2 linked regions of the Lonchura striata genome follow. The protein of the gene in region 2 interacts with the protein of the main gene of each other region in a pairwise test. Links are inferred from orthologs where the notes say so. Each region holds a gene or a part of one and is shown on either strand. Other genes may lie near its edges.

What was found. The genes of interacting proteins can lie anywhere in the genome.
Region 1: the proteins of MYBPC3 (region 2) and ACTC1 interact in a two-hybrid assay, tested with the Homo sapiens proteins (2 studies listed by IntAct). The link is inferred for Lonchura striata from reciprocal best matches to the Homo sapiens genes MYBPC3 and ACTC1.

Annotation. Positions count from the first base shown.
Region 1 is NC_134608.1:29,402,758-29,410,288, reverse strand, and holds the start of ACTC1 (actin, alpha cardiac muscle 1), read left to right. Parts: upstream 1-4,531; 5' UTR 4,532-4,629; intron 4,630-5,164; 5' UTR 5,165-5,184; coding exon 5,185-5,313; intron 5,314-6,069; coding exon 6,070-6,394; intron 6,395-7,041; coding exon 7,042-7,203; intron 7,204-7,315; coding exon 7,316-7,507; intron 7,508-7,531. UniProt on the Homo sapiens protein: Actins are highly conserved proteins that are involved in various types of cell motility and are ubiquitously expressed in all eukaryotic cells.
Region 2 is NC_134608.1:39,281,687-39,288,668, forward strand, and holds the start of MYBPC3 (myosin-binding protein C, cardiac-type), read right to left. Parts: upstream 3,017-6,982; 5' UTR 2,884-3,016; coding exon 2,859-2,883; intron 1-2,858. UniProt on the Homo sapiens protein: Thick filament-associated protein located in the crossbridge region of vertebrate striated muscle a bands. In vitro it binds MHC, F-actin and native thin filaments, and modifies the activity of actin-activated myosin ATPase.

The DNA of each region.
Region 1 (7,531 bases), about 9.9 Mb from region 2:
AATTTGAAGGCATACTCCACTGCCCTGTCACTCCAGGCCCTTGTAAGGAGTCCCTCTCCATTTTTCTTATAGGCTACTTCCAGGTACTGGTACAATTGTGTCACCCCAAAGCTTTCCTTTTTCTAGGCTGAGCACTCCCAATTCTCGCAGCTGTTCCTCATAGGAGAGGTGCAGAATGGATGCAAGAATCTCATCCTTTATTTGGAACTGATGTGTGGCAAATAATACTTTGGAGAGTGAGAGACTCAGAAGAACAAATTCCTCTGACTGCCACTCACCTCCACTTACACTGCCCGTGCCTAAACTTCTCAGCTTCATACCAAGATGCTTTAGCTGCATCTCTGACTCCCAGTGCCTACCCCACGATTTTACCCTTTCAGAACACACTTAAGATGTTTTAGGTTAATTATAGAAGTGCAGCAGCACATAAGTGAGTGAGAGAGACACAGAGATGATAAGAGCCTGTAATTATGTGAAGGGTTTAAATGCTGAGGAGACAAGGAATATATAAAGCATGAAACATGGGCTAGTACTAGGGTGGATGAGACATTACTAAGAAAGGGGAACACCCAGTGAAGTCTCTGGAAAAGTTTACCAGACAATGTAACTATTAAATTGGGAGACTCTTCTAGGAGAATGATTTCTCACTTGGAAGGTTCAAGACTTCAATATTTCGTGGGGAATAATTTCAGACTTGTGATGACTGCAGAACTATCTTCTCTGGCTTCTCTTGGTATGTCTGCATACACAGAAAGATTAATAATTGCACAGACATTGATAACAACACATGGCTCCTTCGTGACAGTGACTCTTTCATGACAGTGATTTTCACCATATATTACATGTTTGGCATTCTAGTCTCATCAGGACTTCTGCCTATCAACAAGACTGCTGCAATGCTGCTTATATTTCTAAAGACCATATAGCTTCAAACAGTGAGACAAAAGAGACAAAAGAAAACCTGTCAGAATGGCATTTTCTTATTCTTGAAAATGTTAAGTTTCTTTCAAAGACTACACTGGCCTGAGGCTTAAGAGAGGTAACATTTGGCTCTGTGCTAGGACAGATTTTATATGTCAACATCCATTGGATTTAGAAATAGCAGATTTTAAGTGAGAAGTTGCTGTAGAATCTGATAGGTCAGGATATACTGTATGTAGAATTGCTTGGTATATTATGAAAAAATTATTAATTTTATTGGGACATATACAGAAAAAAAATCATAAACTGAAAGGTTGAACTAAAAACTACAGAGAGGACCTGATCCTACACATTTGCAATTTCTGATCACATTGCTAAATACTGTAAATAATCGGAAGGTTTTAAGTGTTCTATCCTTTAAAGCTTTTAAAGACTCATGGCTATATTGTTAAGCTTTTGTAATTTATTTTTTTTTATTCAAAAGCTGAATAGCAGTTGTGAGGATTTCTAGGCAGTTTGTTCACATTTTTACCATGCAGAGGTAAGGACTCCTGTTCTGATTCTGGCTGCAGCCACAACAGTGTCTTGTTGGTTGAACAACACATCCAGTTTTTCCTATATGCATGTGTCCCCTATATATATGTACATGTCTCTCTATATATACAGACATACATGTATTTAATTTTTCTCCCCTATTAATAATCATACACATGAAGGCTTCATGCTCTGGTGTGCTCAGGCTGTTCTAGGGACATGCAGATCACGTCCACTGCAGATCTGTCTGCTCTCCAACACCCTGTACTGCCTGTTTCCCTGGTCTCTGGGGTCACTCCCACCAGCTAAGTCATGAGAAATGTACACAGCATGTGGGGGCCCTGGTCAGAGCTAGAGTGTTACTCTTCTAAATGACATTGCATAACATATCTCAGTAGGTTTTTGCTTCTCTGGTTTACTTGAGACTGTGATAACACTGTATTGAAGAAAGCAGAATTATTTTGGCCTATTGAATAACTTAGCTGGGCAATTTTCAAGTGGCTACAAGGAAGGAAATGATGTTTTGGAATTGCGTATGTTGTGTGGTGCCCTTTTCATTTGACCTTGCAATGTATGGGAGTGTGCTGGCGTGTGGATTGATGAGTTCTCAGGCTCACCAGGATCCTAACTGTGAATCCTGCTGGATTAGAATTGTAAAACTTGAGATAGAAGAGAAAGCAAAAATAATTAGACAGTAAACAAGAAAATCCAAACTGTTTCATAGATTTTTCAGTGAGAGCTGGCTCTGTCTCAGCTTCAGGAGAGCCTGTCTCTCCCTAGCCAGAGGGAATGTAGGATGTGTCAGAGAGGGTCTGATTGGGGAGGAATTCAATGCAGCTATCAGCAGTGGACTTCTATGTAAATACTGCAACACCTCTGAACCGAGCAACAGCTGAGATAACACTGTAAACTAATCTGTACTGCTGGCGAAGCTGGTCAATCCCTCACATTAAATGGTTTCTGTAGAAAAGATGTGCAAGGCAAAAAATAAGCACATTTAAACTATATATGGCAACTTACCATGGGGTAAAATATGCTGACTTTTTAAGATTAAGAGCAGTCTTTGGTATTTTTTTCCTTGAAAGGGTGCTCTGTGCCAGGGTATATATGCTTACAAATCCTTGCATCTGTATGAATTCTTGTATAAGCAGGCATCACTATCAACAAAGTATTTCCAAGTGTCTGTTTTGTGTGCCTGATCAATTTAGATGAACATATACTTGCTTGGGGTCTTTATCCCACCAGTATTGCTTTTGGTTGATTTTCCATCAAGGCAAAGCAAACAAAGAGCCAAAGCTTGTCCAGAGCAAAGGCACTGAATCAGTGTTTTGCTGCTTTGACCTTTTGAGGTCACTGCATTTCAAAGTCCTACACAGCCTTTCTTAGGTAGTTAAGAAAAAAAATCAATATATAAATAAATACATATACACACATATAAATACATGCATATAATATATATATGGGCATATATATTTATATATACTGATGTATTAAATATACATACACAACTCTCTACAAAAATGGTGTCTCACCTGGAACAGGTTCTCTTTCCTTGCAGCACTTAAAAGCAGGAGCTTATCCAAGATGTTTGTGGCTACCATCTCTTTCAGAGCTGTGCTCATAATCTGGCACAAACCCAAGATAAACTGGGGTTGGGGTGGAGCTAACCACCTCATTAATTGTGCTAGAAAAAAGGAAACTGATTCCACAATCTCTGATTTTAGAAGAAATTAAAGTCTGAGGGTCTCTGACGCCCCCTTTGGATACAGTTTAGAAACAAATAGGGATTTCCAGTTGTCACATGCTTTGTCTGAGTTAAACCACCGTGCAAAGATTGCTCTTCCCCCAACATTTCTCAAAGCCCCCAGACTGCAGCTTGTGTAGCATTCACAAGCTCCTTCCTTCCACATAATTTAAGACGTATACACCCATCTCATGTCTGCCAGCCTTTGTATGGCATCTCATAAGCTGGACCTGTGTTTAAGCAAATGATCCACTTGAGCGTTCCTCTCTTGATTTTGAATCTCATCATTCCCTCCTGTCCCAAACTTCAATTCTCCCTGCTGCATCCTAGCATTGTTTCACAGGCAGACATGGGGCATTTTACAAGATGAGCTCCTGGAGGACACTGGACTCCACATTATAGTAAGTTTCTCTGGGACATGAGTTGACAATCTCTGCTTTCACATACCAGGCCAAACCCACTCAAGGGATGCCTCTCCAGTCTTTCTATTTTTAACAAACAAAAAAAAAAGTCCTGAAGACACATGGATTTTCTAGGTTCCACCGCTGGAGCAAATTATCAATGTGGATGTTTCAACAACTGAGCAGGAAAACAACTGTCACATTACATTAATACCATAGCTGGGTTTTGTCCAATCTATTTCCATATCTCGTCCTCTGCCCTAGACATATCACTATCTCTTACAGATCTGGTGCGCGTTAAAAGAGCAAAGATGAGGAGTCTAAGTATATGCATAAGTGAGTACATCCCATTTTCAGCCAAAAGCAGAGAAAAGAGTGATTTTTGCAGCATGTCCTCATCAAAGTTTAAAAGAAATTGAGTGTGCACTGCTCCTTCCTAAGGCAACACAGAAGAGCAGATGCCGCCCCCACGCAGGAGAGGAGCCTCAGTTGTTGGCACCGAAGTAACCTAATCACTCGTTGATTAAATAGAAGCTCGACTGGGCTTTTCTTTTCGGTGGAAAAATGAAAAGCCGGGGGAGAGAACACCCGTGCGGCTTCCCTCGCACCCTCCGCCAAGCCCGAGCATCACGAGTTTGAGGCGCCGCACCTGGCCGGGCACCGGCGGGCGCCGAGCCCGGGGGCCGAGCCGGGCTGCGGCGGCCCCGGCCCGGCCCGGCCCGGCCCGGCGGCGCTGACCCCCGGGGGCTACGCTGGGCTCCCTATTTGGCCATGCGGCGGCCGGGGCCGCGCTGCCCCGCGCCTGCCTTACATGGGCCGGCGGCCGCGCCGCGCCGGGGCCGGCCCGGCTCCATTCATGGCTGCGCGGCCGCTCAGTGGCGCGGAGCCGACCAAATAAGGAGAAGGTGGCTGCCCCGGCCCGCCGCGGCCCCGGACGACGCTGCCCCTCGGGGGGTATAAATTGGGGCGTCTCCGCCGAGCCAGCACCCAGGGTCTCCTCCGCTGCCCCCCGCCGCCGGTGCTGGTCTGGTGAGTAGCGCGGCGGCACCCGCAGCCCCGAGGGACGGGCGGGGAGGCTTTGGGTGGGATGGGAGGGTCGGGACGGGATGGAATACACGGGAGGGATGGAATACACGGGAGGGATGGACAGGAGGCACCGCCGGGCGGCGGACGCCGGTCGTGCAGGCGCGGCCGGAGCTCGGGCGTGCAGCTCCCGGTCGGGAGCTGCTGCTGCCGGGACACCGCCCGCCGAGCGCGCTGGACAGCACCGATCTCTGCGATTTAAACAGCTTTCCCTCCCTTTTCGAGCTGCGGCTACAGGGGTCCGCTAATGACGCTCCAATTGAGCGTCTTGCAAGCTGGGGCTGCTTTAAAGCGCGGAGAAGAAAGCGGCTGACGGATCCGGTTTAGAGCCCTGGCCACGAGCCGTCGAGCATCCTCCCGGGATAACTCAAATTTCCCGCTCCCGCCGCAGTGATCCGGCCGTGCCCGCCGGGATGGCGGGCGGGAGGGCGCGGAGGGGCTGCCCGCGGGGCTCTGAACGTGCCACCGTGCTGTTTTCCAGGTTCGTGATTCCTTCCCAAGATGTGTGACGACGAGGAAACCACCGCACTGGTGTGCGACAATGGCTCGGGGCTGGTCAAGGCGGGCTTTGCCGGGGACGATGCCCCCAGGGCTGTTTTCCCGTCCATCGTCGGTCGCCCGAGGCACCAGGTAAATTCACTGGCAGGACACTCCATAAAAAGTGTTTTCTTAAATTAAAACATTTACAATTTGTATTTTTTTTATTCTGGATAAATTGCTGCTAAGGTTGCATAGTAATATGAAGTATTTTTGATCAGTAGAATGCTAATTTTCCTCTGTATTGTCCTGTTTACAAACTCCTTTGTTCATGATATTGTGCAGTTTCAGTCAAATTTTTGGAAATCAGAAAGAAACAAATAAGAAAAAAAACTATGTATATAAGAGGTGTATTATAAATGGGGGAACATCCATTCATCTCATGGAAGGAAAAAAAGATTTTATGAGAACCCTTCCAATTCCATTAACTTAATATTTTAATCATGTTAAATTTATTTTCCTGAATGGCCTTTCAGGGGTGTGACTGTTTGTTCCTTTCTTGAAAATAAGATAGCTGGAATTGTAGAATCATAGAATATCCTGGCTTGGAAGGGACCAACAAGGATCATCAAAGTCCAATTCCTGGCCCTGCATGGGACAGCCCTGGGTGTCACACTGGGTGCCTGAGACAGTTGTCCAAATTCTTCTTGAACACTGTCAGGGTTAGTGCTGTGGCTACTTTCATGGGGACCCTGTTCCAGTGCCCAATCATCTTCTGGGTGAAGAACCTTTTTCTAATATCCAGCCTAAACTCAACTTGACTCAACTTCAGGACAGTTGTATGTGATGTAGTTGTTTGGGCTGTGTTGTCTTCCTCAAATAATGCTTTTCTGTGTTTTCTTCTCTTAGGGTGTTATGGTTGGTATGGGTCAAAAAGATTCCTATGTGGGTGATGAAGCTCAGAGCAAAAGAGGTATCCTTACTTTGAAATACCCAATTGAACATGGCATCATCACCAACTGGGATGATATGGAAAAGATCTGGCACCACACTTTCTACAATGAACTCCGTGTGGCCCCTGAGGAGCACCCTACTTTGCTCACAGAAGCCCCCTTGAACCCTAAAGCTAATCGTGAAAAGATGACTCAGATAATGTTTGAGACCTTCAACGTACCTGCTATGTATGTGGCAATCCAGGCTGTCCTGTCTCTGTATGCTTCTGGTCGTACAACAGGTAAAATAAACAAATAAACACTAGATTCTATTTCCATTCAGGAACTCTCCTTCCTTTCCATTCCAAATAGGAAAACACACCATAGCTCATTCAATTTGCAGAAAAATAGGTATTTATGGTTTATAGCAATTAATGATTAAAATAGCATAAAAGTGAATACAAAACAGGTCACATTGTTCTTTCCATAGACAGTTTGCATTGCTTTTGGAGAGGCACCATGGAACTGACTGTGCTACTGCTTGTTATGGTGCAAACGAGGAGACATTCCTGTAGGGATACTGCAGTTACAGAAGTGTTACACCAGTTTAAGGGTTTAAACTGGTCCAAAAGATGCCCATTATCAGATCAAGACAGTCACTATAATATTACTACTGCTCAGTATAGTAGCAATGGAAGACTGGTCTTATGGATTATCTTAAAATATGTATGGAACAACTATTCTGTGTGAAAATTCATACCCCACAGGAATGTCCAGACAAGCAAAGGCAGAAAGAATTGGAATGATCTTTGTGACTGAAAAAGAATTATGCCACTTTATACTGCCTGAAAAGTCCTTTATTTTGTTGTGTTTCTTGCTGCTTCCTGTGTGTAAGGGCTCTAAGCATTCTCTAGGTGATTCCAGCTGCTCTCTGACATTTCTTTTCCAGGTATTGTTCTTGATTCTGGAGATGGTGTCACCCACAATGTACCCATTTATGAAGGGTATGCTTTGCCTCATGCTATCATGCGTCTGGATCTGGCCGGCAGGGATCTGACTGACTACCTCATGAAGATCCTCACGGAGCGTGGATACTCCTTTGTGACAACAGGTCAGTCCTTCAGCTCTTCTCTACTGAGAAAGTCCTCATGTCTCTCTTGGCTGATCATATTGTCTAGCATTGTGCTGATCCAAAGCTTGATTTGATTCTCCTATATCTACAGCGGAACGTGAGATTGTTCGTGACATCAAAGAGAAATTATGCTATGTTGCACTGGACTTTGAGAATGAAATGGCCACTGCTGCCTCTTCCTCCTCTCTGGAAAAGAGCTATGAATTGCCTGATGGTCAAGTGATCACAATTGGTAATGAACGTTTCCGCTGTCCTGAAACCTTATTCCAGCCATCCTTTATTGGTAAGTGTTCCCAGGAAATTCTCC
Region 2 (6,982 bases):
GAAGTCAACTATTTCCTCCTAATGTCAAAAATATTGTTAGGGAAATGGTTGGGGTTTGTTTAACATTTCTGAATTTTCAGAACAAAAAAATGATCAAAATTTCCAAAGATAAACTATGAAGAGTTTAAATCAAAGAGAAGAACATAAAGTTTCTGCAACAGAATCCTGCAAAAAGTGGTGATTTTCAAAATTTGATTGTTTGCTCTGACACTAAACTCTTACAGGTCTTATGCATTCTGTTGCTCTTGTGGATGGTGTAGAATTTCTAAAATGCAAAGACAATACTTTTGGCATTCTTGAAATAAGTCATGGAGTGCTTTACCCTGAAGTATTTTAGTTGGGCAGTTGAAAGTGAAAGAATATCTACTTCACCATGCCATTTTAAGTTTAATGGTTTATTCAATGATTTTTGGTTTTCTGGTGGGAATTTTTGGGCGGTTTTGTTTATTTAGTTTTTGGGTGGTGTTGTTTTGGTTTTATTTTTGTTGTTGTTGTTGTTTGTTTCCTTTTATGTGTTAAAAGCCTTGTAAAAACGGCAGATATAAGCAGAATATTTATGGTCATTCTTTGACATGAAGAAATTTCTTTTGCCTATACACCAGATGCACAAATTTCAGTAATACAGACTAGGGATTTCTTTGGGCTCTTCAGTAATCCAACTATATGATGTGTGAAAGGCAGGAATTGTGATTTATCCAAGTATGAATTGCCCAGTGGTTATTTGGCCCTCCTGAGATGATGCTCAGCATTATCCCATCTTGAAATGGTTTGAACTGTATAAACAACATGAAATAGAAAACCAAAGGGATTAGTGTCTCCTGGGAGACTGAGAAGATCCTCTCTAAAAGTTGTGGGGCATGTGACTGGTTCTGTCTCGGTCAGAGTGAGTAACAAGAGCTTTTCCTCCCCCTGCTGTGATAATCCCAGTGTTTGGTCTAGCTTGCTCATAAGAACTGCGTGGGACTAGTGATGTTAGACACCTGTTAGATTTCTCTGGAGAAATAAGTTGGAATAGAATTTCCCTTCACCATTAGCCAGCAAAAGTGGGCATCTTCACAAACAGAGACACTGCCTCTCACCCACAGAGAATGAAAATATTTATTAAAAGGCAGTTAAACAATTAGAAATCAGAAGTCATAATGCCAAGGTATCACTGTCAAATTTTGCCTACTCTATTGTATTTATTTTTGTCTGCATTCACAACAATGAGACATTTTCAATAAAACCTAAAAGTTGTATGATTTAAAAGCAGAATATGAGTATGATTTTCTCATTTTTGGAGTGATTACTGAACCTTTGCAGCTTATATTTTCACGTTTATGTGTACAATTACAGGATCTAATATATATTTCTTTTTTATATACAAATCTACTTTAATTAGAAATGGTAACCTCATGAACATGAAATGATGTTATATTTGTAATACAATGGAAGGGTTGCTGACATCACTGTTGTTTTAGGGTTATCATACAGAAGGAACACAAAGAATCTTGTTGGAGTTAACCATGCTTTGGTGCTTTGCAGGTTGTAATGGGGGAGACTCTGGGTGTGTAATAGGTCTGCCTCTGGCAGTGGCTGATTTCAAATGTTTTGGTCAAATGAAGGTTCTTAGCAAGTTCTTTTGTTATTGTGACCATAGGAGATTGTCTCACTGGCCAAACTGAGAGGAGACCAATGCCTGCTCAGGCCTTTGCAAAGCACAAAGGCCATTATTAAAAAAACTCCACAGCTGTCACTGGCTAACTCTGGAAACTGCACATGATTAAAAACATGTGCACCTTCTATTGCACATTCAGGTAGTGGCGATTCTGGGTGTGCACTGGCATCAATGAAGTGACAGCTCTAAAGTGGAGAATCCCAGATTTAGTACAAGTTTCTCCAGGCCTGACTATTGAATATGTTTACAATTGACAAACAATCATAAATTCAGATTTTGTCAGCTTTTTTTTCCAAACTTGTGGATGCAAAGTGCTCCTGAGATGTCTTCCTCTGCAGGTGTCCTGAAGTTAAGTGCCTCTTCCTTTTCTTCCCAGGCTCTCTTCCTCATCAAAACAGCAGATCCATTGCACCTTGTACCCTGTTCTAGGCCTCCTCTATGTGGGCAGCATCTGAGTGATTCCTTATTTGAAGATTTTTAATTAAAACATTCATAAATCTGAAATACTTTTCTGGCATTTTTCTATGTGGCCCTGTGACCTTGGTTTCCTGAAAAGGGCGAGTTATCTTCTGGCTCAAGGAGAAAGAATGAAGAAGGGCAAGAGAAAAGAAATTGCATGTATTCTTCACAGTATAAATCAAAAGCCTTTTTTCCCTAGAGTTCTATTCTCAGTCATTGAAATAAACAGAAAGAATAAACTCTGACCAGGAACTGTTTGCTTTCATTTTCACAGAGATTTCATTCACAATAAGCACCATCAATTTTTTTGGCAATATTTCTTCTACAAATTGTCAGGGGAAAAAAACCCAAACCCGAAATAAAAGCAGGAGAGGTTTGTACTATTTACTGTCCAAGAGAGTCAATACAAGCCTTTACTTATTTTTTTTTCTGAGTCCTAAAGGTGACCAGAAAGGAAAGGAGAAATTAAAAGCATTTGAGAATTAAATGCATTTCACCTCTATTTCTTCCTCATCCAAAGTCTCTTGAGAAAATTCTGTGGCTGAGGTTATCAAAGCAGTTAGTGATTTCTTTTCAAGATCACTCAATATCTCTTACATTTATAACTTAATAAAATAAAATTTCCTTTTCCTATCTATTTATTTTTTTCCATTGAGACATCTCATTTCTCTAGAATACATAATCTACTCACACTTTTCCTGTCAAGCTGTTCTTAGTTTTGTCTGCCAGTTACGATCCTTACCTGTTTTCTTTACCGGCTCTGGCATCTTCACTTTGTTTCTGGTGGAGCTCCCAGCTGCATCTAGGAAGCAGGGTATGAATCACACGGGAATGTGACTGCAGGGCTTTTGAGACCCCCTAAAGAAGCACTGGATGGAAGCCCCCATGCTGCTCCTCCCCTCGATCCCCCCCGTTGTCGACTAGGCACCTTATCAGCAGCAGGACACACTTGACAGGCGACATCAGCCGGGCTAAATATAGCCAAGTTCCAGGAGCCAGGGAGCTCAGGCCACCCAGGAGTGGCTACCACGGGTCTGCTGCTATAAACCAGAGCACAGTGTGATGCTGCACGCGTGTGCGGTGCATTTTCTAGCTCCAGGCATGTATTGCCACGTTTATAGCACATGCAGCAAACTAGATCTGATGGCTACATCTCCTGTGTGCTGGTACCTGCTTAGTCTAAGTGTGCATTTGCTTACGTTCTTATTACTTATTTCAGTTTTTGTTTTTATCATAATTGGGTCAGAGCTGAACAGCCCCTCACATACTGGTTTTGTTGTTTCTTTTTTTAGCTCTTCAGCCAAAGACTGTATTTGTAGAACTAACTGTGAACTTTAAGGAAAGAACTTTCTTTTGCAGAGACACTTACACAATACTGACATTTGCAGTCACAAGCAGAAAGCATGACACTACTTATATAGTTTTAGTCCTCCCTTCCTATCCACCCACTTGATCCACAGCATACGTTTCTTGATAACTAGCAAGTTTGTTTTTTTTTTCTTCTTTTAAATATAATTTTTTAAATCATTCCAAGGTTCTATTTTATACCACTAGAAGTTTCAGTTTTGCTTAATCATATAAAAAAGATCTGGGGGAAAATCTCACTAGAAAATTATTCTTGTATGGCCATTTCATGCTCCAATCTTTGCTTTTTACTTATTCATATATTTAGCATATGGCAAAATAGTAACTGTGGACAATCATTCTTTTATTATCATGATGTTTTATCAATTTTGAGTTTTAAGCTTTGCTAGAAAAACTCTGGAGGCTGAACATAGAGCATATTTTAGCCACCACTAGTATTGAAAAAATAATTAAAAAAAAAAAAGGTGTGGTTTTCATTTTTCCTCCAGCTTTACTATCTTGTAGAAAACAAATTTTAAAAGTATTTCCTCTTTTGGCATGAAGTTCAGAATAGACCAGTGTGCAAGCAGCTCATCAGTCACTGTGCTCTGTGTCTGTCTTTCACATCTGACTCCCTCAGTAGGCTGGTAGGACAAATGTGAACGTGCAAGAAACACTTCTGATATCTCTTCTGATTTGAGGCCAAATGCTTCCTCCCCTTTCCCTGAAGCAATTTTTTATGGATGAGTGAGGAAGATGGGCAGGATGTCACCTGTGTTTATTTTCCATTGCCTATGTTTCTAGTGGAGCACAAGTTACCATGATATATATTTGGCGACTGTCTTGTGCCTGAGGTATTTCACTGGGAGTCAGGAAATCTGGGCTATTTGCTTTCACTTGAAACCTTTCAAAGGGCTTGTGTCTCACTTCTTCCTCACAATGAAACCCAGCTATGAGGATTTAATCTGATGCAGGGAAATGATCCTAATCCAATAATAACTCTTTGCAGATTTTGTTATTTTTAATGTGATTTAAAGTAATATTTCAATTATACTGCTATGTTCAAGACCGGGAAAAATTGATGTTTTGTCTGCTATTACACATTAGGTTACCAGGTGGCAGCATTGTTGCAATAGTAAACTTTTTTCTAGAATTTTCTATATTATATTACATTATGTAATATTACGTGATATAATATGATATTACTACTTTTAATAACAAAACTGATATGCAAATAAAACATATAATTTCAATGTTTACACTGACCCAAAACAGATGTGTAGTGGATTGTGATAACTACTTTCTAGTGCACTGCAACACTAGATAATTGTTTAGCAAGTGTGTGAAGTTTCATCCTGTATTCAGATGAAACTAATGTACAAGAACAGTGAAGCAACATGTAATAGATGTCTCAGGGCCTGTGCTTAAAAAGTGAGTGAGAGGGAAAATTCTTCCTTGTCGGAAGAATTACTGAAGTTATTGCTCTGTGCTTCATACAGTGTCTTTCACCACATAATTCAAAATCAAGTTCAAAAATGACAGAAATTGGTGGCCTGCAGTGACAGGCTGTGCAATTTTGGATAACTACAGAGAAAACCAAGGAAAAGACTACCTAACTTCTTATTAAAAGGCTATGTATTTAGGTGCTTGTGACTCTGCCCAAATGTAGGTATCCAGGCAGAAACTCTATATATTACTTTTCTATTTTGGGCTTCTTTTCCTGGTAGTTTCTGTCATGCCATTTAATTTCTTGTCTCTATTTCTGTTTATTTGTTTCTCTGCCTCTTTGTGTCACGAATTTACCACCTCCTCGGCGGCTCGGCAGTTTCTGAGGACAAGGCAGTAAAATTGCCTCAGTGGCTGCAGATTCCTGCTGCCGGCGGTGGGACAGCACTGGTGGGACAGCTGAGGTGGCTCAGTGCAAAGCACAGACCCCGCAGGACTCATCCACTGAAGTGCTCACAGAATCACAGAATATCCTGAGCTGGAGGGGATCCACAAGGATCATCAAATCCAGCTCCTGACTTTGCTCAGGACAGCCCCATTATTCACACCAGGTGCCTGAGGGCGTTGTCCAGATGCTCCTTGAACTTTGGCAGGCTCCTGCTGTGACTTTCCTAGGAGCTCTGTTCTAGTGCCCACCCACCCTCTGGGTGAAGAATCTGTTCCCAATATCCAACCTAATCCTCACTGTTTCCTTTGAGTTTTTGAATCACAGAGTGCGGGTGTGTACAGAGCAAAGCCACTTGACCTTATTGACAGAACTTGAGTTTACAGGGACTTAGGAGATTTGGGTAATGCTGGTCCTGCTTATTTGAGCTTTCCTCTGCACAGCCATTTTGTATCCCTACTCTTTGTACTCCATATTTTACTTCTTTCAGTATATTTGACAGCAACTTGCTTTCATTTCAGGGATATTCTTTTAACTGGCTTCATGATAGAGAGCTTGAGTCGCTGCATGTTCTAGACTATGGGGGAAAAAATGCAGTCTGCATATGCTCAGTGAGAACTTTCTACATTCCATCCTCTGAAGAAGTTATTTTTTTGGTCAGTGGGGTCCAGTCCAGGGGTCATCAGAGTTTTCTATGCCTTTATGTCAGGGCTAATGTGGGACTTCAACTTAATTCAGACACTTGAACCAAAAGCAAGCAGCCTTTGTGTCCTGTGCTCCAAATGTTATCTCCCTCAGGCACATCAAAATAAAGGTTGGGGGGCAAATAGTTGGAACTTCAGAGAGAGAAGGGATCACACCAATTTGAGAGGGAGGAGGAAGTAAAAATGTGGGATTGAAAGATGGATTGGGGGAGAAAATTGGTTTTTCTAGGTAATATGGGAGGGATTTGAAATAGATTCTCAAAGGACAGGAGTATTAGATGGGGAGCTGGGATAGAAATGGGGCGGAGGGAAGAGAACTGGTGATAAGACTGAAACCATAAGAGGATGTGGGATGGAAAAGCTATAAATGGCTGAACAAATAATTTGGAACTGAGAACCATTCACATAAAGAGAAGATGACTAGATGCATATGTGAGAAAAGTTGGCCCTAGAGGAAGCAATGAACTACCTGGGCCAAAGTTGAAAAAGGACATTGAGAATAAAGCAATTGGAATCTACTAAATATGGAGGCATCTACTGGCTGAATCTAGGCATGGAGAAAAGCTGAACAAAGAGCTGGGAATTGATAGCTCAGGCTGGCAGAGAAAGGAAAGCACAGTGTGGGTGAGTGGGGAAAAAATGGAATAGGGAATATCTAGAGAAGAAATCTAAAATTATGTTTCTGAAAGCAGACACCCAAAACTCAGAAACCTAGGTAAATCTAAAAGAACCCAAACTGATTTGTATACGCAAATGCCCAGCTCAGCACCCAAACATTCTTCACTTTGCATAAGGCAGAGGAATCGAAGCATTCTGCACAAAGATACCAGTGGTCAAAGGGCTTCTTTTACCTAAAGCACTGCTGCTCTGCTGCTGGGGAGTTAAAACAGAAGCTCAGAGGGAACCCTTAAGGCACAGAAACTGCAT